7 linked regions of the Callithrix jacchus genome follow. The protein of the gene in region 6 interacts with the protein of the main gene of each other region in a biochemical or structural test. Links are inferred from orthologs where the notes say so. Each region holds a gene or a part of one and is shown on either strand. Other genes may lie near its edges.

Evidence for each region.
Region 1: the proteins of PPP1CA (region 6) and SFI1 form a complex in vitro, tested with the Homo sapiens proteins (2 studies listed by BioGRID and IntAct). The link is inferred for Callithrix jacchus from reciprocal best matches to the Homo sapiens genes PPP1CA and SFI1.
Region 2: the proteins of PPP1CA (region 6) and RRP1B form a complex in vitro, tested with the Homo sapiens proteins (4 studies listed by BioGRID and IntAct, with this or other methods). The link is inferred for Callithrix jacchus from reciprocal best matches to the Homo sapiens genes PPP1CA and RRP1B.
Region 3: the proteins of PPP1CA (region 6) and PPP1R10 form a complex in vitro, tested with the Homo sapiens proteins (2 studies listed by BioGRID). The link is inferred for Callithrix jacchus from reciprocal best matches to the Homo sapiens genes PPP1CA and PPP1R10.
Region 4: the proteins of PPP1CA (region 6) and PPP1R15A are reported together in a solved structure, tested with the Homo sapiens proteins (2 studies listed by BioGRID and IntAct, with this or other methods). The link is inferred for Callithrix jacchus from reciprocal best matches to the Homo sapiens genes PPP1CA and PPP1R15A.
Region 5: of the proteins of PPP1CA (region 6) and AKT1, one has a biochemical effect on the other in vitro, tested with the Homo sapiens proteins (3 studies listed by BioGRID and IntAct, with this or other methods). The link is inferred for Callithrix jacchus from reciprocal best matches to the Homo sapiens genes PPP1CA and AKT1.
Region 7: the proteins of PPP1CA (region 6) and MPHOSPH10 form a complex in vitro, tested with the Homo sapiens proteins (2 studies listed by BioGRID and IntAct). The link is inferred for Callithrix jacchus from reciprocal best matches to the Homo sapiens genes PPP1CA and MPHOSPH10.

What each region holds. Positions count from the first base shown.
Region 1 is NC_133502.1:202,085,769-202,089,268, reverse strand, and holds part of SFI1 (protein SFI1 homolog), read right to left. Parts: intron 3,446-3,500; coding exon 3,350-3,445; intron 2,876-3,349; coding exon 2,799-2,875; intron 1,401-2,798; coding exon 1,298-1,400; intron 1-1,297. UniProt on the Homo sapiens protein: Plays a role in the dynamic structure of centrosome-associated contractile fibers via its interaction with CETN2.
Region 2 is NC_133522.1:49,362,650-49,365,169, reverse strand, and holds part of RRP1B (ribosomal RNA processing protein 1 homolog B), read right to left. Parts: intron 784-2,520; coding exon 590-783; 3' UTR 1-589. UniProt on the Homo sapiens protein: Positively regulates DNA damage-induced apoptosis by acting as a transcriptional coactivator of proapoptotic target genes of the transcriptional activator E2F1.
Region 3 is NC_133505.1:35,398,201-35,401,700, reverse strand, and holds part of PPP1R10 (serine/threonine-protein phosphatase 1 regulatory subunit 10), read left to right. Parts: coding exon 1-192; intron 193-360; coding exon 361-424; intron 425-545; coding exon 546-740; intron 741-923; coding exon 924-999; intron 1,000-1,251; coding exon 1,252-1,365; intron 1,366-1,523; coding exon 1,524-2,234; intron 2,235-2,518; coding exon 2,519-2,628; 3' UTR 2,629-3,500.
Region 4 is NC_133523.1:42,713,758-42,717,958, forward strand, and holds the start of PPP1R15A (protein phosphatase 1 regulatory subunit 15A), read left to right. Parts: upstream 1-1,401; 5' UTR 1,402-1,631; intron 1,632-2,207; 5' UTR 2,208-2,216; coding exon 2,217-4,181; intron 4,182-4,201. UniProt on the Homo sapiens protein: Recruits the serine/threonine-protein phosphatase PPP1CA to prevents excessive phosphorylation of the translation initiation factor eIF-2A/EIF2S1, thereby reversing the shut-off of protein synthesis initiated by stress-inducible kinases and facilitating recovery of cells from stress.
Region 5 is NC_133509.1:139,649,545-139,653,044, reverse strand, and holds part of AKT1 (RAC-alpha serine/threonine-protein kinase), read left to right. Parts: intron 1-41; coding exon 42-186; intron 187-2,418; coding exon 2,419-2,547; intron 2,548-3,500. UniProt on the Homo sapiens protein: AKT1 is one of 3 closely related serine/threonine-protein kinases (AKT1, AKT2 and AKT3) called the AKT kinase, and which regulate many processes including metabolism, proliferation, cell survival, growth and angiogenesis.
Region 6 is NC_133511.1:124,477,355-124,481,333, reverse strand, and holds the start of PPP1CA (serine/threonine-protein phosphatase PP1-alpha catalytic subunit), read left to right. Parts: upstream 1-1,179; 5' UTR 1,180-1,276; coding exon 1,277-1,331; intron 1,332-1,861; coding exon 1,862-1,993; intron 1,994-2,149; coding exon 2,150-2,380; intron 2,381-3,103; coding exon 3,104-3,208; intron 3,209-3,606; coding exon 3,607-3,830; intron 3,831-3,913; coding exon 3,914-3,979. UniProt on the Homo sapiens protein: Protein phosphatase that associates with over 200 regulatory proteins to form highly specific holoenzymes which dephosphorylate hundreds of biological targets.
Region 7 is NC_133515.1:42,751,405-42,754,904, forward strand, and holds part of MPHOSPH10 (U3 small nucleolar ribonucleoprotein MPP10), read right to left. Parts: intron 3,249-3,500; coding exon 3,111-3,248; intron 322-3,110; coding exon 211-321; intron 1-210. UniProt on the Homo sapiens protein: Component of the 60-80S U3 small nucleolar ribonucleoprotein (U3 snoRNP). Required for the early cleavages during pre-18S ribosomal RNA processing. Part of the small subunit (SSU) processome, first precursor of the small eukaryotic ribosomal subunit.

The sequences.
Region 1 (3,500 bases), on a different chromosome or scaffold from region 6:
TTCACCATATTAGACAGGCTGGTCTCAAACTCCTGACTGTGTGATCCACCTGCCTCAGCCTCCCAAAGTGCTGGGATTGCAGGCATGAGCCACCACGCCCACCCATAAAATTTTTTTTTTTTTTTTGAGACATAGTCTCACTTTGTCACCCAGGCTGAAGTACATGGCGTGATATCGGCTCACTGCAACCTCCACCTCCCAGGTTCAAGCAGTTCGCCTGCCTCAGACTTCTGAGTAACTGGGATTACAGGCATGCACCAACACACCCGGCTAACTTTTGTATTTTTAGTAGAGATGGGGTTTCACTGTGTTGGCCAGGCTGGTCTCAAAATCCTGACCTCAAGTGATCCACCCACCTCAGCCTCCTAAAGTGCTGAGATTAAAGGGATGAGCCACCACACCCAGCCTCTATTACTATCTATTAAATGGAACCACATATGTTGTATCCACTCTTCTGTATGAGTGATGCCTACAAAATCACAGTAACAAAATGCTTGCCCAGGGGAAGCCTGGTGCCTGCCTGCAAACTGTCATGAACTCCATTCCCACTAAAAATGCCTCCTCTTCAAGCTCTGAAGCCAAGCAAAGATTCCTGTGTTCTCCTTCCAGGGGAAGGGAGGCACAGGCTGGCTTTGGAGTTTTCTTTTTTTTTTTTTTTTTTTTTTTTGAGACAGTCTTGCTCTGTTGTCCAGGCTGGCGTGCAGTGGTGCGATCTCAGTTCACTGCAACCTCTGCCTCTTAGATTCAAAGTGCCTGTAACCCCAGCACTTTGGGAGGCCAAGGCAGGTGGATCACCTGAGGTTAGGAGTTCAAGATCACCCTAGCCAACATGGTGAAACCCCATCTCTACTACAAATACAAAAATTAGCTGGACGTGGTGCCACATGCCTGCAGTCCCAACTACTTGGGAGGCTGAGGCAAAAGAATTGCTTGAACCTAGGAGATGGAGGCTGTAGTGAGCTGAGCTCACACCACTGCACCCCAACCTGGGTGACAGAAAGACTGTCTCAAAAAAAAAAAAAAAAAAAAAAAAAAAAAGGCAAATACTGGTTCTGGGTTCCGATAAGAACCACTTCACTTATGATGTGTTATATTTCTATTTTAATGCATATTGGTTTATAATTCATTAAAAAACTAAATACCTGCCCACATGGATGTTTCTGTATGTGCTGGAGGAAAATTGCCCATTTTCTGGGTTCCTTATTCAGTTTAAATCTCTAGTACCACCCCCCCATGCCCTCACCAGAACATAGTCCCGAACCCTCCTGGGTCACCAGCTTGCCTCCATATACCTCACCTTGGAACATATGGTCTTTCTGTAATGAGTACTTGCTTGAAAGGTTTTTTTGGCTTCATTCATGCGGGCCATGGTGTTCTCTTTCCAGCGACGTAACACCCCCCTGTAGGTGCATGGGTGTCGTCGGGAGGGCAGATGACACCAGGATGGAGAGAGAAGGGAGGCTTCTGTGAATCATTCCCCCTCTTCCCCTGCTCCTGAGTCAGGGACTCTATGCCTAAGAATGTTTGACCAACACCCATGTTTACATGCATATCTACGTCCAACAAAGGGCTACTGAGCAGCTGCTCTGGGCTGGGCACCGAGAGTGCATGAGGGACCCAGCACTGCTGGAGACCAAACTCCAGGTGCTATGGGGATAACAGGGCGTAATCCGGCAGTGGCAACACAGGTGACTCACACTGTGATAAGAGAAGTGTGGAGAGGCAGGGGACCTGGAGGAAGGTTGCCTATGCCTCAGCTTGCTGCTGAGTTAGCTTGGGGAGTTCCTTTTGCCTATTCTACTCTATCTGAAGAGCAGGATGGGTGCTCTGTGGGACCCCATATGAGGGATGGAGGCATTTATTTTATTTCTTTACTTTTTAGAGACAGGATCTCACTACATTGCCCAGGCTGGAATGCATTGGCATGATCATGGCTCACTGCAGCCTTGACCTCCGGGCTCAAGTGACCCTCCCACCTAAAACTCCCAAGTACCTGGAACCACAGACATACATGACCATCCCTGGCTGTTTTTATATTTAGTACAGACAAGGTCTTGCTACATTGCCCGGGCTGGTCTGAAACTCCTGGACTCAAACAGCCTCCCAAAGTGCTGGGATTACAGGTGTGAGCCAATGTGCCCAGCTAAGGATGGAGGCGTTTAAAAACCACTGCCCAGAGGCCACCTGGATTATCAATCATGTGCTGAACAAACACAAAGGAAGGAAATGAAAGGGGCATGTGGGAAGACTACTGGGAAGGAGGGAGGTTAGAGTTTGGCTTAGAAAAAGGGGACGAAGCTGCATAAGCACCCTCCACAGGAGTGCGTGGTGCAGATGGTCCGACAGGGACTAGAGGTGACTCTGAAGTCAGAGACAGGCCTGCAGAGCAAGCGGGAAGGGGAATGCCTGGAAATTGATAGGAAAGGGAGCCACTGCAGCCTCTGGAGTGGAAGAGATGACAAGGCGAATCTCTTGCAAAACTGAATCTTGCAAAGCTTTGCAAACCCCTGAATCTTGCAGGTATGAAGCAGGGAGGAAAAACTGCTAAGAAGAGCAAGACAAGTGGGCTTCCAGGCATGCAGGTGACAGCTGCTCTCCAGGGCCTGCCCTGTACACAGCAGGGGCTTAAGACAAATGAAGGTGAACTCATGAGTGAAGCGGAAAAGCCAAGACCATGATATTAGGTACTAGGGACCTGGGATCATCCCTGGCCCTCAGCAGGACCCCCCCAAAACGCTGGGGTTTGGAGTGTGTTCCTCATTCCCGGCCAGAGCCTGGGAGGCGCCTGGGAGACTCACCGCAGCAGCTGCCTGTTGTGCTGGCTCTCCTTGGCTGCCACCTCCTGGAGGATGCTCTGCACCCTGCCCTGATAAGTCTGTGGGGGACAAGGGGGACAAGGGGGACTGGAGGCTGCCCCTGGGTCCACACTTCTCCCTGTTTAGGCAGGCCTCAGAGGTGCCTCTACCACAAGGCTGCCACAGCATTCAAAAAGGGCAGGGAGAGGCCAACAGCCTTTAGTCCCAGGGCCAGCAGACCCTCCCAGATGACAGGGAGAAGACTGTCCCATAGGCCCTCACCTCCTAAGTCAAACCCCAGGACTCCTGGACAAGGAGCTGCTTTCCCCTCAAGGCTGGGGCCCACCAGCAGCACTTGTTTCCACTTGGCCCAGCAAGAACCGAAGAACCTGAGGCCTGAGTCCCAGGGCCTCGCTAAGGCACTTGCTGGTTTCAGGTTTGTCACATCACTTTGTTGTGGGAGGGACAGGAAGAACAAGGAAGGGAAACAGAGTCTCCAGAAACCTCCCCTGTCCCCACAGCAAGGAGCTCAGGAGGGAAGCAGCAGCTCCTACCACCCACGCCTGCAGCGCCCTGAGCAGCACCGTGTGCTGGTGGTGCAGCTCCGCTCGCATCAGCTTCCGCCGCTCCGCTCCCCGCAGGGCCAGGCACTGCAGACAGAGAAGAAAGCAGCTACTGTGGGCTGGGGGCCCACTTGGGGGTGGC
Region 2 (2,520 bases), on a different chromosome or scaffold from region 6:
TTCTTCCCCCACCCCTACCTGTCCACGCCCCCAGCTGAGCACATGTAGAAAAACTATGGTATTGCTGATTCTGTGACAAGAATCTTCCTGATCAGTAACCTGCCCAACACCCACAGAACATGGCAATGAAGCCCTAGATGCTTTTAAAATAAAACAGACTGTTAAGACTAGACAAACCAGAAAACCAGCTTAGCATGGCCAGTACGATAATGAGTACGAACCCCGAGTATGAGTCCCCGGGAAGTGCAGCTCCACCTGTCACTGTGCCAATGGCATTGATTATTCAAACTTCAGATCCACGTGGTCTCCTCAGCTCACAGAGGGTCTCATTTCCTACACCAGTGGGAATCACCGAGGGTACCCAAAAATGTAAAATCCTGGAGAGCTCAAAAACAAACATGGTTTGCAGCAAGATTCAACCAAGACGCCCACAGCTGCTCCAAGGGCCAGGATGCAGTAGCCCGTGCACATTCAGAACCTCGCACACACTTACAGCTCAGGAAATGATAAAAGGCCCCACATTCTTAAAGGTATCGTTTATAGAGTAGTCTGTACAAAAGCAGTCTTTTTCAAGAGACTCTGCTGCTCCTCAGAAGAAATCCACAGCCCTGGGCCTTCTCCTTGGTGTGGCGGTCAGGGGCTTCTTGGCCACTGGGGGTGAGCTGGCAGGCGAGCTGGTGGGGGTCTTCAGCACCCCGTGGAGGGGCCTCTGTTCAGGGTCGAAGGCCACCCGAGAAGCACCCGTGGGACTGACCAAGATACTCTTGTCTGTCTTCTTGAATTCTGTCCCAAGTGAGAGCAAGGCCCCAGGTTAAGCGGGTCCAACAGCTGTCCCTTCGACAGCGCCCTGCCTGGGTGCCAACCCCACCCATGTGCTAGGACAAAGTGGGGCCATCTCAAGGCTCTGCAGAGAGCAGGCCTGAGAGCCTCCTGAGGCAAGGAGGGCAGTGAGGCCACGTCCCATGCCTCACCTCACCCTCCCAAGGGAGGCCCAGACCCAGGGGAGCTGCTGGTAGGGTGGCTCCTGGAAGCCTGAACTTTTGGGGTGTTTTGGACAATGACTGGACCAAGCATTTGTGTCTGGGACAAATCCGTGCTATGTGGAGCTGCAGGATGTGTCCCATTCACTTTTCCCAGTTCTAAAGGTGGGGTGAACTCCTCCTCTCCGAGTCTCTTCTCCCTCAACACAGATACCCTCACACACACATATACTGGTGCACGTACACACACACTGGAGCATGTACTCACTCATACACACACACACACACACACAGGCGCATGTACACATACACACACACACCGGCGCACATACACACTCACACACACACATACTGGTGCACGTATACACACACACACACACAGGCGCATGTACACATACCCACACACATACCGGCGCACATACACACACACACACATACTGGTGCACGTGCACACACTCTCATACACACACATACTGGTGCACGTACACACACACACTGCCACATGTACGCACTCATACACACACACACACACCGGCGCACATACTCATACACACACATACTGGCACATGTACACACTCATACACACTGGCGCCTGTACATTCATACACACTCATACACTGGCGCACGTACACACACTCACACACACTGTCGCACACACACATACTAGCACACGTACACACACAGGCGTACGTACACACATACGGGCACATGTACACACACATACTGGCACACGCACACAGTCGCATGTATGCACAAATACTGGTGCATGCACACATACATACTGGCGCATGTACACACATACACACATACTGGTGCATGTACACACATATTCACACACACACTCATACGCTCACACTCGCATTCACACACACTCATACATGCACTCACACACACACTCACATATACACACGTTCAGTTACTTGTGGTTTCCAACGAGAGTCGGGTTCTAAACTCACAATACTTTTTAAAACTCTGGTTTCTTTTGTGAAAGCAACTCGAACGGATGGCAGCCACACAAGAACTAGGAAGGCAGGGATTTCCCTTCTCCGTCCCCCGGGAAGAGTGGTTATGGTTTCTCGGAGGCAGCTACAGCTGATGGGCCGCTGCAAGCTCTAATGGCCTTTCTGTGGGATGGCTTGGTACTTAGAAACACCTGGGAAAATGGCTTTTGGATCACGTCTCACCAGGTAGCCTCTCCTAAGAGGTCCCAAGCAATTGGCTGCCCACTCACCACTGGCAACCCACTCACAGCCCTTTGAGGACAAGGGACACATAGGTGCTTCCTTTTGACTCTGAAATGGGCACTGAGGGGCTGGGCACGGTGGCTCATGCCTGTAATCCCTGCTCTTTGGGAGGCCAAGGCAGGTGGATCACCTGAAGTCAGGCCAACACGGTGAACTCCCTTCTCTACTAAAAATACAAGTGTTAGCTGGACAAGGTAGCGGGTGCCTGTGGTCCCAGTTACTTGGGAGGCTGAGGCAGGAGAATCGCTTGAACCCAGGAGGCAGAGGTTGCAGTGAGCCGAGATCACGCCAACCTG
Region 3 (3,500 bases), on a different chromosome or scaffold from region 6:
AGACCGACATGCATTTGAGACAGCCCGGCGTCTGAGCCATGACAACATGGAGGAGAAGGTGCCCTGGGTGTGCCCCCGGCCCCTGGTTCTACCATCACCTCTTGTCACCCCTGGAAGCAATAGTCAGGAGCGATATATCCAGGCTGAGCGGGAGAAGGGAATCCTTCAGGAGCTCTTCCTGAACAAGGAGAGGTGAGCAGAGTGGGATTTGTGCCCTGGGATGTTGAGGGCTTGGACACTCCTAAGGGGAACATGACTTGGGGTAATTAAGCATGGGTGGAGGTTAGAAATAACTTTCAGGGCCTAAATTAATAACTTAACTGTCATTCTTTTTTCCATCACTTGTGCTGTTCCTGATAGTCCTCATGAACCTGATCCTGAGCCCTATGAGCCCATACCCCCTAAACTCATCCCCCTAGATGAGGTGAGTGAGTCAATATTATGTGATGATAGAGGTTGTGATGATCATTGATTTTGGTGCATCTTTCACGAGAAAATGTCTCCATTCTTTCAGTTAGGCCTGATTTTTTTTCTTCTTCTTTCAGGAGTGTTCCATGGATGAGACTTCATATGTTGAGACCCTGGAACCTGGGGGGTCAGGTGGCTCACCTGATGGGGCAGGAGGCTCCAAGTTGCCTCCAGTTCTGGCCAATCTTATGGGAAGCATGGGTGCCGGAAAGGGCCCCCAAGGCCCTGGAGGAGGAGGCATTAATGTGCAGGAGATCCTTACCTCCATCATGGTATGCACCCCCTTCCCTTCGCCACCTCCTTGGAGCCTCCTTAAGTGCACTGTCCTCACTCTGTCTCCCATTCACCTTACCTTGGTCCTCCACATCTACCCACTTACTCCTAATCTTTGAGTCCCTTTTGCGATGGTTGTTACCCTTTCTGTCTGTTGACTTTGCCTTCTTATATGCTCACAGGGTAGCCCAAACAGTCATCCTTCAGAGGAACTACTGAAACAACCAGACTATTCAGACAAGATCAAGCAGATGCTGGGTAATCTTCAGGGCAAGCCCCAGAGGCCTGGGGGAGGAAGCCTTCAGTGGAGTTTGGGGAGGCAGGTTTTCACAGATGTGAAAGAGTATAGGGCTATTGCCACTAGACAAGAAGTGGGAGGGGAAGACTGGACAGAGAGCACTGCTCTGCCAGCTTGGTCTGAGAGGGTCAGTTGGGCACACCTAAACGGGAGATCATGTTAGTCTTCTAGAGTGCTCATACTGACTGTGTTACTCTTGTTTTCATTAACAGTGCCACATGGACTCTTAGGCCCTGGCCCAATAGCCAATGGTTTCCCACCAGGGGGTCCTGGGGGCCCCAAGGGCATGCAGCACTTTCCCCCTGGACCTGGGGGACCTATGCCAGGTAGGTGGTGAGTAAGAGGTTGGAATGGGCTAATCGGCCTAATTTCAAGTGATAATAGTATGGGATTGCCTGGAAGGCGGGAGGTGGTGGTTTCTGTTGGGAGACGGCAATTCCTGAGTGTAGTAGATAGCTGATGCTCTCTCTTTTCTCTCTTACAGGTCCCCACGGAGGCCCTGGTGGGCCAGTGGGTCCACGTCTCCTGGGTCCTCCACCCCCTCCCCGGGGGGGTGATCCCTTCTGGGATGGCCCAGGTGACCCCATGAGGGGTGGCCCAATGCGGGGGGGTCCAGGACCAGGTCCTGGACCATACCATAGAGGCCGAGGTGGCCGAGGGGGAAACGAACCTCCTCCTCCTCCTCCTCCTCCTCCGTTCAGAGGCGCCAGAGGAGGTCGCTCTGGAGGAGGTCCCCCAAATGGACGAGGGGGGCCTGGTGGGGGCATGGTTGGAAGTGGTGGGCATCGTCCCCATGAAGGTCCTGGCGGTGGTATGGGCAACAGCAGTGGACATCGTCCCCACGAAGGCCCTGGCGGTGGCATGGGCAGTGGGCATCGCCCCCATGAAGGCCCTGGTAGCATGGGCGGGGGTGGAGGACATCGTCCCCATGAAGGCCCTGGCGGTGGCATCAGTGGTGGCAGTGGCCATCGTCCCCACGAAGGCCCTGGCGGAGGAATGGGTGCCGGAGGTGGACATCGCCCCCATGAAGGCCCTGGACACGGGGGGCCCCATGGCCACCGGCCTCATGATGTTCCTGGTCACCGAGGCCATGATCATCGAGGGCCACCACCTCATGAGCACCGTGGCCATGATGGCCCTGGCCATGGGGGAGGGGGCCACCGAGGGCACGATGGAGGCCACAGCCATGGAGGAGGTGAGGATGCTCCCTGCCTCCATATACCTTTTGATGTGCCGTACAAGATTTTAGGGAGTGGTGGTGGGGAGAGTCACCACTGTTGGTAGCTAGGCAGAATGTGAAGTCCCCTTATTTCCTTGGTGTCCTAGTATGCATAGCAATTCCTACTCTGCCCTTCCCCCAGATCCACAAGATCATGTCTCTGAAACACAGTTCTCAGGATGCCATGGACTGGGGTGGTGAAGGTGTTGGCATTGCCCGCAGCCATTTCCTGTCTAACTGTTCTGCTTTTGTTCCCACAGACATGTCAAACCGCCCTGTCTGTCGACATTTCATGATGAAGGGCAACTGCCGCTATGAAAACAACTGTGCCTTCTACCACCCGGGTGTCAATGGGCCCCCCCTGCCCTAGGGACCATTTGCCTGTCCTGTTCACACAACCCCTGTGGACTGCAGCCTCGCTCCTTCCACCCTGTTATGGCTTCTGTGAGGCCCATTTTCCCCTTTCCCCAGCTGATGAGGAGCCAGCCCCCTCAGTTCCCACTTGCTTGGGTTCCTGGGGGTTTTCTGATCACTGGTGCGCATTGATGTACATATTTTCCTCCAGTCTGGGGAGGAGAGAGACTGGTAACGTTCTGTACCCTGGACTGCTGAAGAGGAGACCCAGTTGGCTTCACTTTTTGAGAAGATTCGCCCTGTACCCCAAACCCCTTTCCAGTATTGCCCATAATGCCTGAGAACGTAAAGCTGGTTATCCTGGAGAAAACCCCTACCCTTCTATTGCGGGTCCCCACATGCACACAGAACTCTGACACAGGATCAGCTGCACTTAAGAAATCCCAGCTAAGCTCATTATTACTCATGGGGTGGGGAGATGGTGAAGGGGTATTGTATATCCCACTGCACTGAGGGGGCTCAATCAGCTGGATTTGAGTTCTGGAACACACATCATCCCCACTCCTCCCCCAGCATGGGCTCCATTCAGAGTCCTTTCTCAAGTGGGACCTTGAACTTAGTGTGAACAACCATTCTGCGTCCTGGGTCTGCTGGGTTCGACGATCGTGAACTCATATCTGCATCCAGTGAAAGTAGCTGGCAGAGTTGAGGCCAGTGGTGCTGGTCTGCTCTTGCCAACTACAGCCAGTCTGTAGACTTGATAAAGTACTTCAGTGAGACCAGCTTCTCATTAACTTGTGCCCGGCGTGCTGGGCCTGAAAGTCACACTACATGCACTGCCTTTGGGAGTTAGCGCACTCCCTGCCCCTACTTGGAACCTTGTCAGTG
Region 4 (4,201 bases), on a different chromosome or scaffold from region 6:
ACTCCAGCCTGGGTGAGAGAGCAACACTCCCTCTCAAAAAATAAATAAATAGGCCAGGCATGATGGCTCATGTCTGTAATCCTAGTACTTTGGGAAGCCAAGGCAGGTGGATCACCTGAGGTCGAGAGTTCAAGACCAGCCTGGGCAACATGGGTGAAACCCGTCTCTATTAAAAATACCAAAAACTGGGTGGATGAGGTGGCTCACACCAGCAATCCCAGTACTTTGGGAGGCCGAGGCAGGCAGATCACCTGAGGTTGGGAGTTCAAGACCAGCCTTACCAGCATGGAGAAACCTCGTCTCTACTAAAAATACAAAATTAGCCAGGCGTTGTAGTGCATGCCTGTAATCCCAGCCACTCTGGAGGCTGAGGCAGGAGACTCGCTTGAACCTGGGAGAATTGCAGAGGTTTCAGTGAGCCGAGATTTCGCCATTGCACTCCAGCCTGGGCAACAAGAGCGAAACTCCATCTCAAAAAAAAAAAAAAAAGCCCGGGCGCGGTGGCTCAAGCCTGTAATCCCAGCATTTTGGGAGGCTGAGGCGGGTGGATCACAAGGTCAAGAGATCGAGACCATCCTGGTCAACAAGGTGAAACCCCGTCTCTACTAAAAATACAAAAATTAGGTGGGCATGGTGGTGCGCGCCTGTAGTCCCAGCTCAGCTACTCGGGAGGTTGAGGCAGGAGAATTGCTTGAACCCAGGAGGCAGAGGTTGCGGTGAGCCGAGATCGCGCCATTGCACTCCAGCCTGGGAAACAAGAGCGAAACTCTTGTCAAAAAAAAAAAAAAAAATTAGCTGGGCGTCGTGGTACATGCCTGTAACCCCAGCTTCTTGGGATGCTGAGGCCGGAGAACGGCTTGAACCTGGGAGGCGGAAGTTGCAGTGAGCCGAGATCGCGACATTGCACTGCAGCCTGGGTGACAGAGACTTCGCCTCAAAAAATAATAATAGTAAATAAATAATTAGGCCTGGAGTGGTGACTCACGCCTGTAATCCTAGCACTTTGGGAGGTCGAGGCGGGGGGGGGGAGGGGGCGCGGATCTCCTGAGATCAGGAGTTCAAGACCAGCTTGGCCAACATGTTGAAAAAAATCCCGTCTCAAAAAAATAATTAATAAATAGATAAATAAATTGAGGTGGGAAGGCATCTGCCCTGAGCTAAGAGAACTGGCCCGCTGCTGAAGCAGGACCATGCATTTGATTGACAGTTCGCTTATTTGGGAGGCGTGGTCACGATCGGAAACTCCGCCGTGACGTCACAAAGTTGGAATCTCCGCGAGAAGTCCTGTCTTACTTTCACTTCCCACCCTTCGGGGTGTGCTCTCGAAACCCCGCCTCTCCCCGTGACGTCACACGTCGGGGCGCGGTAGACTATAAAATCTTCGCGGACGCTTTTCGCGTTCATTGTGTTGGTTCCTACCCTAGTTGTAGTTCACGTGCGAGAAGTCGCACGACCCTGCGCCCGCTTGTCGCCCCCGCGCTTGAGGCAGCCATAGATATTCTGTGTTCCTGGACCCCAACCTCTGAGGGTGAGATGAACGCGCTGGCCTTCCTAGCCGTCCGGACCTGGGATCGCTTCTGGCAGCCCGAGCCGGCCCTCCTACCCCCGGGGTGACGCGCAGTCCCCAGCCGGTGAGTAAGGGGTCGAAACGCCTGGGTCTCCACGGGGCTGGGGGCACGGATTTAAGGAGGAGAAGGGGTTGGGAGCCTGGAGTCCTGAGTCTGAGGGAGGAGGGATCTGGAAGCCAGATTCTTGGGTTCCTCTTGAAGGAATCGTCTGGCAAGTGGGTGGGTCGGGTCAGAATATTTGAGTCTCCAAGAGAGGGAGGGTGCGGGGGTTTGACTTGTCAATCTTCAGCAGGATGAGTGAGCTAGGGTCTATGACCTTGTCCGCAAGGGAAGCAAGTAAAAGACTTGTTCTTGGGACTGGGATTTCTGCATCTGAGCAAAGAGGAGGCTGGGGGCTTGGACCCTTGGATCTAAGGAAGAACTAGGGGCTCAGATTCCTGGCTCTTGAGTGATGAGAGAGAATGGAGCCAAGGGACAGAGAGGGGAGTGGCTGAGATCAGAAAGGAATTTGGGGCAGAGGCTCACGGTGCTGTTTATGATAGTTGTGTTACTATTTTTGTTGCTGTGACTCATAGTCATGCCCGAATGCCATCTCCTTAATGGCCCCTAAACTTTATTTTTTTCCTCCCCCTTTTCCAGCCCAGACACATGGCCCCAGGCCAAGCACCCCATCAGGCTGCCGGCTGGAGGGATGCCCATCCTTTCTTCCTCCTGTCCCCACTGATGGGCTTCCTCAGCTGGGCCTGGAGCCGCCTGAGGGGCCCGGGACCTCCAGAGCCCTGGCTGGTAGAAGCAGTCAAGGGAGCAGAAGCTGGCCTGGAGGGAGAAGCTGAGACTCCTCTGACAACCCCCGCTACCCTTTGGGACAGATACTCTGAAGAGGAGGCTGAAGACAGTGGAGGCCCTGAAGGGGACAGAGAAGCGATGGGCCTGAAAACCAGCACTTCCCTTCCTGAAGCCTGGGGACTTTCAGATGATGACGATGACAAGTATAGTGAGCGAGAAGCAACCAGTGTCCCTAGAGGGCAGGGAAGTCAATTAGCAGATGGCCAGCGTGCTCCCCTGTCTCCCAGCCTCCTGATAAGGACCCTGCAAGGTTCCGATAAGAACCCAGGGGAGGAGAAAGCCGAGGAAGAGGGAGTTGCTGAAGATGAGGGAGTCAACAGTTTCTCTTATCCTCCGTCACACCGGGAGTGTTCAGCAGTAGAGGAGGAGGACGAAGAAGCTTGCAGAGCCTCTACTGCCCTGTCTCCAGGATCCAAGCCCAGCGCTTGGGTGTCTTGCCCAGGGGAAGAAGAGAATCAAGCCACGGAGGACGACGGAAGAACAGAAAAAAGTCAAGGAGCCAGGAAGACCCCCGTGTCACCCCCATCTTCAGGCTCTAACCCCACGGCCTGGGAGTATCATTCAGGAGAGACATCCGAGGAGAAGGAAAAGGCACACGAAGGAGCTGGGAAAGGAAAAGCTGCCCCAGGGCCACACTCCTCAGCCCCAGCTCAGAGGCCCCAGCTCAGGGCTTGGCCGTGCCAACCCACTGATGAAGAGGAAGGTGAGGTTAAGGCTTTGGGGGCAGCTGAGAAGGATGGAGGAGCTGATCCTCCCTGCATCCCTGCCACAAGTGCCTTCCCGAAGGCCTGGGTATATCAGCCAGGAGAGGACACAGAGGAAGAGGAAGAGAAGGCGGAAGATGAGGACAGTGATACGGGATCAGCTGAGGACAGGGGAGAAGCTGAGACTTCCGCTTCCACATCCCCTTCAAGTGCTTTCTTGAAGGTCTGGGTGTATGGGCCAGGAGAGGACACAGAGGAAGAGGAAGGTGAGGAAGAAGATAAGGACAGTGACTCTGGATCAGATGAAGAGGGAGGAGCTGAGGGTTCCTCTTCCACTCCTGCTACAGGTACCTTCTTGAAGTCCTGGGTGTTTCAGCCAGAAGAGGACACAGAGGAGGAAGATGAGGACAGTGATACGGGATCAGCTGAGGACGAGGGAGAAGCTGAGAATTCCGCTTCCACACCCCCTGCAAGTGCCTTCCTGAAGTCCTGGGTGTATCAGCCAGGAGAGGACACAGAAGAGGAAGATGAGGATGAGGGAGAAGCTGAGAATTCCGCTTCCACACCCCCTGCAAGTGCCTTCCTGAAGTCCTGGGTGTATCAGCCAGGAGAGGACACAGAAGAGGAAGATGAGGATGAGGGAGAAGCTGAGACTTCCGCTTCCACACCCCCTGCAAGTGCCTTCCTGAAGTCCTGGGTGTATCGGCCAGGAGAGAACACAGAGGAGGAAGATGAGGATGAGGACAGTGAGGATAAGGAAGATGATTCAGAAGCAGCTGTGGGAGAAACTGAGTCAAACCCACATCCATCCCACCCAGCCCAGAGTGCCCGCTTCAGAGACTGGGTATATCAACCTGGGAAGGAGACAGAGGAAGAGGAAGCTACTGAGTACTGGGGAGAAGCTGAGCCCTGCCCCTTCCGAGTGGCCATCTATGTACCCGGAGAGAAGTCACCGCCTCCCTGGGCTCTTCCTGGGCTACCCCACCGACTGCAGAGGCGGCTCAAGCACCCAGAATCACCGACCCGAGATCCGGACCCTGAGACTCCCTTAAAGGCCAGAAAGGTGGGTGCTGAGAGCCCAGA
Region 5 (3,500 bases), on a different chromosome or scaffold from region 6:
CAGCCCCGACAACAGGTGCCCCAGAGCCCCACTACTCCCAGCTCCAGGGCTGGGGTGACACAGGACGGCACAAGTGGAGGAGCCAGCACCACTGTCTTCATGGCCAGGGGCTGGAGCCGGTGCCCAAGGGTGGCAAGACCACATCTGCCCGGCAGCCTGACGGGCATGGAGGGCTCAGCAGAGTGGGTGAGTGAGCCCCCTGGTGAGTGCTCCCGGGCATAGGGGCAGATTCTGAGCTCTGGACCCTTCTCCCTGCGACTGGGCATGTGTCATCCTCTGGAGGTGTCAGGCTGCCATGGATGGGCTCTGACTATCCCCTCCTGGGTCCACCTCAGAGCTGGCAACAGCTTCTCCCCACACTCAGCTGCTGGGTGGGGTGTCCCCCTCGCCACCAGCATCCCCCCAGTGGCCCTGGATCTGGCGGAGCGAGGGCTGGTCCTGTGGAGGCCATGCCCTGTGGTGCTGGTAGGAGGGGCATCGGACAGCCGGGGCTGGGGAGGAGGGAGAGGTCACCTGGCCTGGGGTGACCATTTGCGAAGCCCTGGTGGCTCACCTCTTACAGTGAAAACTGCCTGTGGCTTCCCGGAAGGAGAATGCCCTGGCTGCAGGGATGCCGGGGCCCGTGCCCTCTGAGTTCCCTGGGCCGCTGCTGTGCTGGGACGTGACCTGTGCACCAGGGAGGACTGGGCGCGCCTGCACTCACCATGTGGACTGAGCAGGGCTGGGGGTGGGTGGTCCGGTGATGGGACAATTGCTTGTCCCCCACATCCCTCCAGGTGTCCTGGTCTGGGCTCAGGTTGATAGGAAAACCCAGGCCCCAGAGCTCAGGGACCCCCAACCCTTTACCCTGCCCAGCGGCCTCTCCGATGAGGCCGTTGCCTCATTAGTAAGTTCCCCGTTGTTCAAATTCCTTGCTTGGCAAAATGTAAGTGGAACATTTTTTTCCGAGTGTCAGTATGAAAAATGGTCGTTGCTGGGCTGTCACTGGGGCAGCTGCTCCGATTCTGAAGTGCGTATGGCTGATGCGGCAAAACTGGAGGGAAAACGTTCCGTGCACCTGAGTGACCCACGGGTGGGACGCAGCCTGAACACCCTCTGTGCCCGGGGCCCCTGCCCAGCTGGCTGGGCCACCTCTGGGTCTGGCTTCCCTGGCAGTGCCCAGGATGGTGCTCCAGGCCCCTAAGACAGGGAGTGCTCTGCCAGAGCAGTGGCCGCTCCTGTCCCAGGATCCTGGCCCTCGGTCTCAGTGGTGCTGAACCAGGATCCCGGCCCTCGGTCTCAGTGGTGCTGAACCAGGATCCCGGCCCTCGGTCTCACTGGTGCTGAACCAGGATCCCGGCCCTCGGTCTCACTGGTGCTGAACCAGGATCCCGGCCCTCGGTCTCACTGGTGCTGAACCAGGATCCCGGCCCTCGGTCTCAGTGGTGCTGAACCAGGATCCCGGCCCTCGGTCTCACTGGTGCTGAACCAGGATCCCGGCCCTCGGTCTCAGTGGTGCTGAACCAGGATCCCGGCCCTCGGTCTCAGTGGTGCTGAACCAGGATCCCGGCCCTCGGTCTCACTGGTGCTGAACCAGGATCCCGGCCCTCGGTCTCAGTGCTGCTGAACCAGGATCCCGGCCCTCGGTCTCAATGGTGCTGAACCAGGATCCCGGCCCTCAGTCTCAATGGTGCTGAACCAGGATCCCGGCCCTCAGTCTCAATGGTGCTGAACCAGGATCCCGGCCCTCAGTCTCAGTGGTGCTGAACCAGGATCCCGGCCCTCAGTCTCAATGGTGCTGAACCAGGATCCCGGCCCTCGGTCTCACTGGTGCTGAACCAGGATCCCGGCCCTCAGTCTCAGTGGTGCTGAACCAGGATCCCGGCCCTCAGTCTCACTGGTGCTGAACCAGGATCCCGGCCCTCAGTCTCAGTGGTGCTGACCTCTCACTTCGGATGCCGTGCTCCATCCTCTTGGTGGGCAGGGGACAACAGCTGTGCTGGGCAGCCCACACGTGCCATTGTCACCTGCAGTTGCCACCTGGCCAACGCTGGTTGATTGGGGAATGCTCTCATCCCTGCAGCCCCTGCAGCCATAGCTGGTGCCTCCTCCTCCAGGAAGGCCATGTGGATTGGCTCAGACCTCCTCCAGCCTCCTGTCAATGGCTCTCCATCCCCTGAGTCCAGCTGGCCCAGCCCGTTTTCAGACACAGCTAGGGGTGGCTCTTCCAAGAGGGTGCTGTGGTGGGGCGAGTCTGCCTTCCTGTTGACCCAGGGCCGTTTCTGTCGCTGGCCCTAAGGAACACACCCCACCCCTTGCCTTCTCCCGGGGACTCAGGCGTCTCAGGCATGTGTGTCCTGGCACACCGGGTTGCTGCCTGGCTGCGCAGCGGGGGTCTGATGGGCAGTGTGTGTAGCCCTCACCGCCTGCCCCCTGCAGGGGAGTACATCAAGACTTGGCGGCCACGGTACTTCCTCCTCAAGAATGACGGCACCTTCATTGGCTACAAAGAGCGGCCGCAGGACGTGGACCAACGCGAGGCCCCCCTCAACAACTTCTCTGTGGCACGTGAGTGTCCCCCTGGCCTCTCGGGGTTTGGATTTGGGAGTTGGCTGGAGCCCTTTATACCCACCAGGCCCCACAGTGGGGTGCCCTGCAGCCTCCGTGTCCTGGGCCAATGAGGAACGTGCACCGGCTGAGTGGGGGTCTCTGGGTCAAGTCCCAAGGCTGAGGCTGGCTGAGTGGGGGTCTCTGGGTGAGTCCCAAGGCTGAGGCTGGCTGAGTGGGGGTCTCTGGGTGAGTCCCAAGGCTGAGGCTGGCTGAGTGGGGGTCTCTGGGTCAAGTCCCAAGGCTGAGGCTGGCTGAGTGGGGTCTCTGGGTCAAGTCCCAAGGCTGAGGCTGGCTGAGTGGGGGTCTCTGGGTGAGTCCCAAGGCTGAGGCTGGCTGAGTGGGGGTCTCTGGGTGAGTCCCAAGGCTGAGGCTGGCTGAGTGGGGGTCTCTGGGTCAAGTCCCAAGGCTGAGGCTGGCTGAGTGGGGGTCTCTGGGTGAGTCCCAAGGCTGAGGCTGGCTGAGTGGGGGTCTCTGGGTGAGTCCCAAGGCTGAGGCTGGCTGAGTGGGGGTCTCTGGGTGAGTCCCAAGGCTGAGGCTGGCTGAGTGGGGGTCTCTGGGTCAAGTCCCAAGGCTGAGGCTGGCTGAGTGGGGGTCTCTGGGTGAGTCCCAAGGCTGAGGCTGGCTGAGTGGGGGTCTCTGGGTCAAGTCCCAAGGGTGAGGCTGGCTGAGTGGGGGTCTCTGGGTGAGTCCCAAGGCTGAGGCTGGCTGAGTGGGGGTCTCTGGGTCAAGTCCCAAGGCTGAGGCTGGCTGAGTGGGGGTCTCTGGGTGAGTCCCAAGGCTGAGGCTGGCTGAGTGGGGGTCTCTGGGTGAGTCCCAAGGCTGAGGCTGGCTGAGTGGGGGTCTCTGGGTGAGTCCCAAGGCTGAGGCTGGCTGAGTGGGGGTCTCTGGGTGAGTCCCAAGGCTGAGGCTGG
Region 6 (3,979 bases):
GCTAATTTTTTGTATTTTTAGTAGAGACGGGGTTTCACTGTGTTAGCCAGGATGGTCTCAATTTCCTGACCTTGTGATCTGCCTGCCTTAACCTCCCAAAGTGCTGGGCTTACAGGTGTGAGCCACGGTGCCTGGCCAATTTTTGTGTTTTGTGTTGAGACGAGGTTTCGCCATGTTGCCCAGGCTGGGCGCAAGAGATCATTATGCCTCAGCCTCCCAAAGTGCTGGAATTACAGGCCTGAGCCACGATGGCCAGCCCACCTCCAGTTTTGAGGTTACTGGTGTGTAAAGCACCCAACTCAGGGTTCCAACAGTAATTACGGTTCATGTAATGTCTACTCTTTATAATTCTTTTTACGTGCACACCCTGCAATATTACTGTGCTACTCAAAGCTTATTATGGGGCCAGGTGTGATGGCTCAGGCCTGTGATCCCAGCCTGGCTAGCATGGAAACTCCCCGTCTAATAAAAATACAAAAATTAGCGGGCGCGGTGACATCCGCCTGTAGTCCCTGTTACTCTGGAGGCTGAGGCATTGTCATCGCTTTAACCCAAGAGGGGAAGGTTGCATTAAACCAAGGTCGCGCCACTGCCTTCCAGCCTGTGGGACAGAGCAAAACCCGCCTCAAAAAAAAAAAGCTAATTATGGGACTTATAAGAAAATATTAATTTAGCATGCCCCAAGGACCAAAGTGCGCTGGGAATTCTAGCTGTCTTTGAGTGTGGTCAGCCGCCTGGGGGCCACGGAGACCCACGAGGAAGGGGGTCCTCGGTGCAAGCGAGGTCCAGGTCTTGAACCAGCCTGTCGCTATGTCTTGAACCTCAGTTTCCCTTTCTGCATTTGGAGAAGTTAACCCTCAGTGCGGGGCAGCCGGTTATTAACGTGTTCACGACACCCTCCACCCAGGGCAGGGGTGGGAAGGGCTGTTCAGCTTTTGAAAGAGAAAAACAACTTCCACATTCCTTCCGGCCCCACATCCTCGAAACGGAGCTGGGCGCCTCCTCTCGGGCGTAACTAGCCTCGGCCCCGCCCCCGACAGACACCGCCCCCAGCCCGCCGCCGAGGCCCCGCCCCCTGGGCCTCCGCGCCTCACATCCAGCGGGGGCGCTAGAGCGCGGGGGGCCGGGCAGGGCGGGCCCGGGAGGCCCGGAGGCGGAGCGGCGGGCCGGGGGCGGACTGGGGCGGGCGGAAGGAGAGCCAGGCCGGAAGGAGGCAGCCGGAGGGCGGGAGACGGGAGCGGGCCCGGAGCTGCTGGACTGGAGCGGCGGCGCCGCCATGTCCGACAGCGAGAAGCTCAACCTGGACTCGATCATCGGGCGCCTGCTGGAAGGTTGGCCGGGGTGGGGAAGGTCCGCGTCCGCCGCGCCCTGGACCCCTGCCCAGCCCGGAAGTGGCGCGCGGGCGGGCCCCCGGGGCCAGCTTAGACTGGGCGGGGACGCGCCGCGAGGTTCCGTGGCCGCAGCCGCCCCCCCCCGCGGACGCGCCTGAGAGGTCCGGGGCCGGCTTCGAGGCGCGGAGCAGCCCCCTCTCCCCGGCCGGGGGCTCACGGGTTGCCTCGGCTCTTGGGGCGAGGGAGAAACCCGGGAAGCCCGGTCCAGGGAGGTGTCTTGCGCTGTGAGGTTTTGGGCGGCAGCCCCCTGCGCACGACAGTCGCCTCCCGAGCCTTTGAGGATAACTAGGGGGGCTTCCCTTGGGAGGCTTGAGGCCGACGTCCCAGGAGGCTCAGCAGCAACAGCTGCCTCTGGGCAAGGAGGGGCCGAGGAGGCCTAGGCGCCCCCGGAGGTATCCACGGGGCCACCGTGTCGCCCACCCTCCCCCTGTCTGAGAGGCCAGGGTCCTGACTCCGCATTGCGCCCCCAGTGCAGGGCTCGCGGCCTGGCAAGAATGTACAGCTGACAGAGAACGAGATCCGCGGTCTGTGCCTGAAATCCCGGGAGATTTTCCTGAGCCAGCCCATTCTCCTGGAGCTGGAGGCACCCCTCAAGATCTGCGGTGAGCAGCCCCCAGCCTCGCCCAGGCCCCTTTGGCTTCCTAAAAGTGGCACTGGCCCCCACAAAGTTCCTGGAGCCCTCCTCCCTTGAGCCTAGTCCTGGCCCTGGGTTCAAGTCTAGACCCAGCATCTAGCTTACTCGGTTCCATGGGTCACAGGTGACATCCACGGCCAGTACTACGACCTTCTGCGACTATTTGAGTATGGGGGCTTCCCTCCGGAGAGCAACTATCTCTTTCTGGGGGACTATGTGGACAGGGGCAAGCAGTCCTTGGAGACCATCTGCCTGCTGCTGGCCTACAAGATCAAGTACCCCGAGAACTTCTTCCTGCTCCGTGGGAACCACGAGTGTGCCAGCATCAACCGCATCTATGGTTTCTACGATGAGTGTGAGTGGTCTGAGCACCCAGGGTTGCCCGGGTCCCGAAACGCTCCTTGCTATTCAGTGGGACCCTCACATTGGCTTCGTATCTGACAGACACTTGCTAGACTGTGCGCTCCACGAAGGCAGGGCCCGCTCCATTCTCGTGCCTGCCCTGCCCTGCCTGGCACGGGGTCTGGGGCATGGTTGCTGACTGGAAGGCTGCTGGTATTCTGGTGCTTGCTCCCAGGGCCCTGCCTGGTGAGGCTCCACTTACATCTGCTACTAAGCACTTAGGATGTGTTTGCAGATGGGCTCAGCTGTCCAGAAGCTGAGATAAACCAGACCTGTACTTGGCCCAGCTTATGGGTGGGGGTGTTTGGGGAGTGCCAGCCCTGAGGCCGGTCCAGATTGGAACTCAGTTTTCATTGGACTTGGGTGCTTTAGAATTACTTCTGGCAGGAAGATCACTTGGACCCAGGAGCTCCAAGTTACAGTGAGCTATGATCTCGCCACTGCACTCCAGCTGACCCTGGGTGACAGAGCAAGACTGTTTAATTAAAAGTTAAAATAAAAAGTAAAGAGAATAGTTCCTGGAAGGCTGATAGGCTGCAGGGGCAGGAGTGGGGACAGGGGCAGGGTGCAGGGTGGTTTGCCTCCAAGCCTCTCTCCTCCCATCTGCGTCTGAATAGCCCAGGGACCCAGGTGGAGGGTGGGGTAGGCGGGCCCCTCACAGCCATCTCCTGGGCAGGCAAGAGACGCTACAACATCAAACTGTGGAAAACCTTCACGGACTGCTTTAACTGCCTGCCCATCGCAGCCATCGTGGATGAAAAGATCTTCTGCTGCCACGGAGGTGAGGGAGGGGACGGCTGGGGACAAGGAGACCTGGCCGCATCCCCCATTGCCGGGCCAGCTCTCCTTAGGTCTGTCTCATCTGGGAAGTCACTCCTTCTGGGAAGTGTCTCCCATACCCCTGTGCCGGGCTGCGCTGACTCCCTTGTGCATCCTACATGGAATAGGCTTGGCTTGTCTATCTCCCGGGAGCTCTGCGCTCCTGAGGGCGGGGACATCTTTGTGCCTCTTTGGGAACCTGCAAAAGCTGAGGGGAAGGGGATGACTTCTGCCGCCTGGGTGCCCAGGTGACCTGTGGAGGAATCAAGGGGGCAGTGGGAAAGGTGAGGCTGATTGGCCACAGCTTCCTGGAGTGAGGATGTCCTTGTTTGAGGATGTGGACTTCCCCCGGTCCCCCAGGCTTGTCCCCAGACCTGCAATCCATGGAGCAGATCCGGCGTATCATGCGGCCCACAGACGTGCCTGACCAGGGCCTGCTGTGTGACCTACTGTGGTCTGACCCTGACAAGGACGTGCAAGGCTGGGGCGAGAACGACCGTGGCGTGTCTTTTACCTTCGGAGCCGAGGTGGTGGCCAAGTTCCTGCACAAGCACGACTTGGACCTCATCTGCCGGGCGCACCAGGTGGGCTGGCAGCTCTGGCCTGGGGTGGGAGAAAGGGAGGCCAGTGCCAGCATGCAGAACTGACTGCTCTGGTCTGCACCCAGGTGGTAGAAGATGGCTATGAGTTCTTTGCCAAGAGGCAGCTGGTGACACTTTTCTCAGCTCCCAAC
Region 7 (3,500 bases), on a different chromosome or scaffold from region 6:
CTGAGGGTCTGGCAGGGGCTCACTGAAGATCTGGGTAGAGCCAGAACTTTCATGGGACCAGAAGTGAGCCTTCCTCATGGAGACCCTGCCTGGAATTTACAGGAGGCTACTGCAGGTTTGTATCCTGAAACAATGAGCTAGTCTCACAAAGGATCAGAGCTATTAATGTCATCCTGCTCTAGCTACACACTGAACTGTTAACACACTTACCGGTTTAGGGATAAAGTGGAAGTTTGAGAGGGCATCCAATTTTAAGAAGAGGGAATCCATCATCTTCTGAATTTCTATGTGCTCTGGATTTTCTTCTTCTGCTGTTTTTTGCTTAGAAAATAAATTCAACAATGTCAAACTAAGTGGCTTGATACATATCACAGGACAAAACACTAAAGGCCAGTGAGGGTATTCCCAGCTTCTCATCACCAAAGCTTCAGCTACAAAGAAACACTCCAAAAGCAAAATTAAAAGTAGCAGTACTGTGAGAGTTCCAGCACCTACAAAGAAGAGATGTGATGTGCATTTTAGGAACTACAGTAACCATTACCTCTAATATTCAGAAGCTAAAAATTTAATTCTCTTGGCATTTACTTCTGCCAAAAACTAAGCTATTCCTAAGATGGCTATATAATTTTATAAAGGAATAATTTTTTTTAAAGGAATACAGCAAGTGATTACAAGGGTTGGCAAGGATGGAGAAACTGGAACCCTTGTGCATTGTTGATGGGAATATAAAATGATGCAGGCACAGTGGCAACAAGCTTGGCAGGCTTCAAAAAACTACACAGAGAATTACCATCTGACCCAGCAATGCCATTCCTAGGTGTACAACCAAGAGAATTAAAGACGAGTACTCAAATACATGTACACGGCACTATTATCAGTCAAAAGGTGATAAGAGCCTGCATGCCCATCAACGGATGAACAGATAAACTGTGGTACATACACACAATAGAATACTGTGCAACCATAAAAAAGAAATGAAGCACTGACAAATGCCGCAGTACTGAAAACATGACGCTAAGTGAAGGAAGTCAGAAATGAAAGGCTGCATATTGTATGGTTCCATTTATATCAAATATCCAGAATAGGCAAATCCACAAAGATAGACTGCAGACTGGGGGTTGTTAGAGCTGGGGCAAGTGAGGAAAGGGGAGCAATTGCTTAATGCATATGGGGCTTTATTGTGGGCTGATAAAAATGTTTTAGAACTAGATAGAACTAGTAAGTTACACTGTCCTAAATGCTCCCAATTGGTTCACTTAATGTGGTTAATTTTATGTTATGTAAATCTCACATCAATTAAAAAGAAAAAAAAGAAGTAGTGTTAATATAGACTTCATCAACTTACCAAACATCCATTTGGATGGTAGGGGCTTTTTCCTTTTATTTAAATGTAATGTGTTAAAGATTTATTCTGACAAATCACATTTAAATATTGACTGCAATTTTAATTCTACTGAAGAGAAAATGTAAATTTAATGCTTCTCTCTCTGTCCCCCTTGGCCCCAAATACTTATTCTAAATGGCTAAGAAGGCTTTTTGTTTGTTTGTTATTAAGACATGAAAAAAAAACCACCAAAACTTGGAAACAACGGGCTCTTTGCCTCCTGACCCTGATGACAGAGACGCAGCCAGGTCTGTTTCCAATGTCCATCATCAGCACCCACCTTCCAGCCATGGTCAGGCATCATCACGCTATTACTGCTTCTTACTATTTTAACTTACCTCACACTTTAAAAAATCCTAAACATGTCCTTTCACCTTATTCTAGGTAACAATATCCATAAAATCAAACACATAGCAATGTATTTGCTATTTAGAATTTTCTGAGCCACAATACATATACAACTGTGAGTAAAGGCTCCTACATATGCTGTTTACCATCATTTCACTTCTAGAATTAGCCTAGCTAATGAATATACTAGAAATCCAAGTCTATCCTCAAAAACTTCTTAACTCGCTGTTGACTTCTGAGAGAGAAATAAAACTACATTTAGAGCTGGCATAAGCTACTGCATTACATATCTAATTTTTAACTCTTGTGGTCACCAATACTTTCTGTATTTACTGAATCTCCTCAAAGACTCAAATGAAACTGTACACATCCTCTTTCAGCAACCACTTTGGATTGCAAGGTAGCCAGGAAGAATTTTAATTCAAATCTTTTCAGTTCTTCAACTTCACAGTGGCATCAGGGCAATTTGCTGTTGCTACCTGAGGGGCATTTATTAACAAAATTTGGTAGGAATTGTAAATGGCTTTTGCAGAAGAAAAATGCCACCGGATCCCAAAGTACATATTAAATATATTCCCAATAAATCAAATGTGAAGGAAAAATTCAATTATCATATAGGCATATAATATTCCTGAAAATATGACCTTGTCCTATTATTTAACCAGAAATTTCTTTTGTGTGTGTTGTGGGTTTGTTGTTTTTGCTTTTTTGAGATGGAGTCTCGCTCTGTCACTCAGGCTGGAATGCAGTGGCGCAATCTCAGCTCACTGAAACCACCAACTTCCCTGGTTCAAGCAATTCCCCTGCCTCAGCCTCCTGAGTAGCTGGGATTACAGGTGTACACCACTACGCCTGGCTAGTTTTTTTTATTTTTCAGTAGAGACAGGGTTTCACCATGTTGGCCAGACTTGTCTCGAACTCCTGACCTCAGGCAATCCACCCGCCTCAGCCACCCAAAGTGCTGGGATTACAGGTGTGAACCACCATACTCAGCCCAGAGATTTCTTTTAGTTAAGTGAAAGAGGAAACAGGCCTAAAAATCAGAAAGAATCCATAATCATGTAAAATATACCAGTAACTTCAAATGTCAATGAGAAATGGCTTTAAAGTTGTAGCACCACCATAATAATTGCTAGAAAGTTAATAATTAGTTGTAAAAGTATCAGGTGACCAAAGCCTAATTGCAAAGCAAACCTCCCAACCCCTCACATAAACTGGGGATATTATAACCCTTCTATTCCTTACATGCTCTGACTCATATTTAAACGAGGTAGCTGAAGAGCTCAAGACTTGTTTCATGATTTCAACTGTCACAAAAAACCTAGTTCTCTATTTCTGTTTCTTTAATAACAATGGTTTTGCTTACAGGCTCTCTCACCTGGTTGAGTTTGATGTACTCCTGTTCATAAATTTCAGCAAGGCTCAATTTACTCTTCTCATGGTCTAAGGTTAAACGCTTTTTATATTCATATGCATCCTCTTTAGGTTTTTCTTTACGTACTACATCATCCCAAGCCTGAAACATAAAGGGCAGGTAGAACATAAGTTAACAAAACCTACAGTTTATTTCTAGGTTCCCTTAAGAATCTTCCTCTCAAATATTTATTATTATAATAATTATCAATATATTAATAAATTATTGTTAATGTATTAATTATGACAAACATCATTGTTATAATAAATATTTATTATTCCAGAGTAAGCAAATTATAGCAAAAAGAAAACTTTCAGCTTCTGAAAAAACTATTCGAATCACAAAAAATAAGCA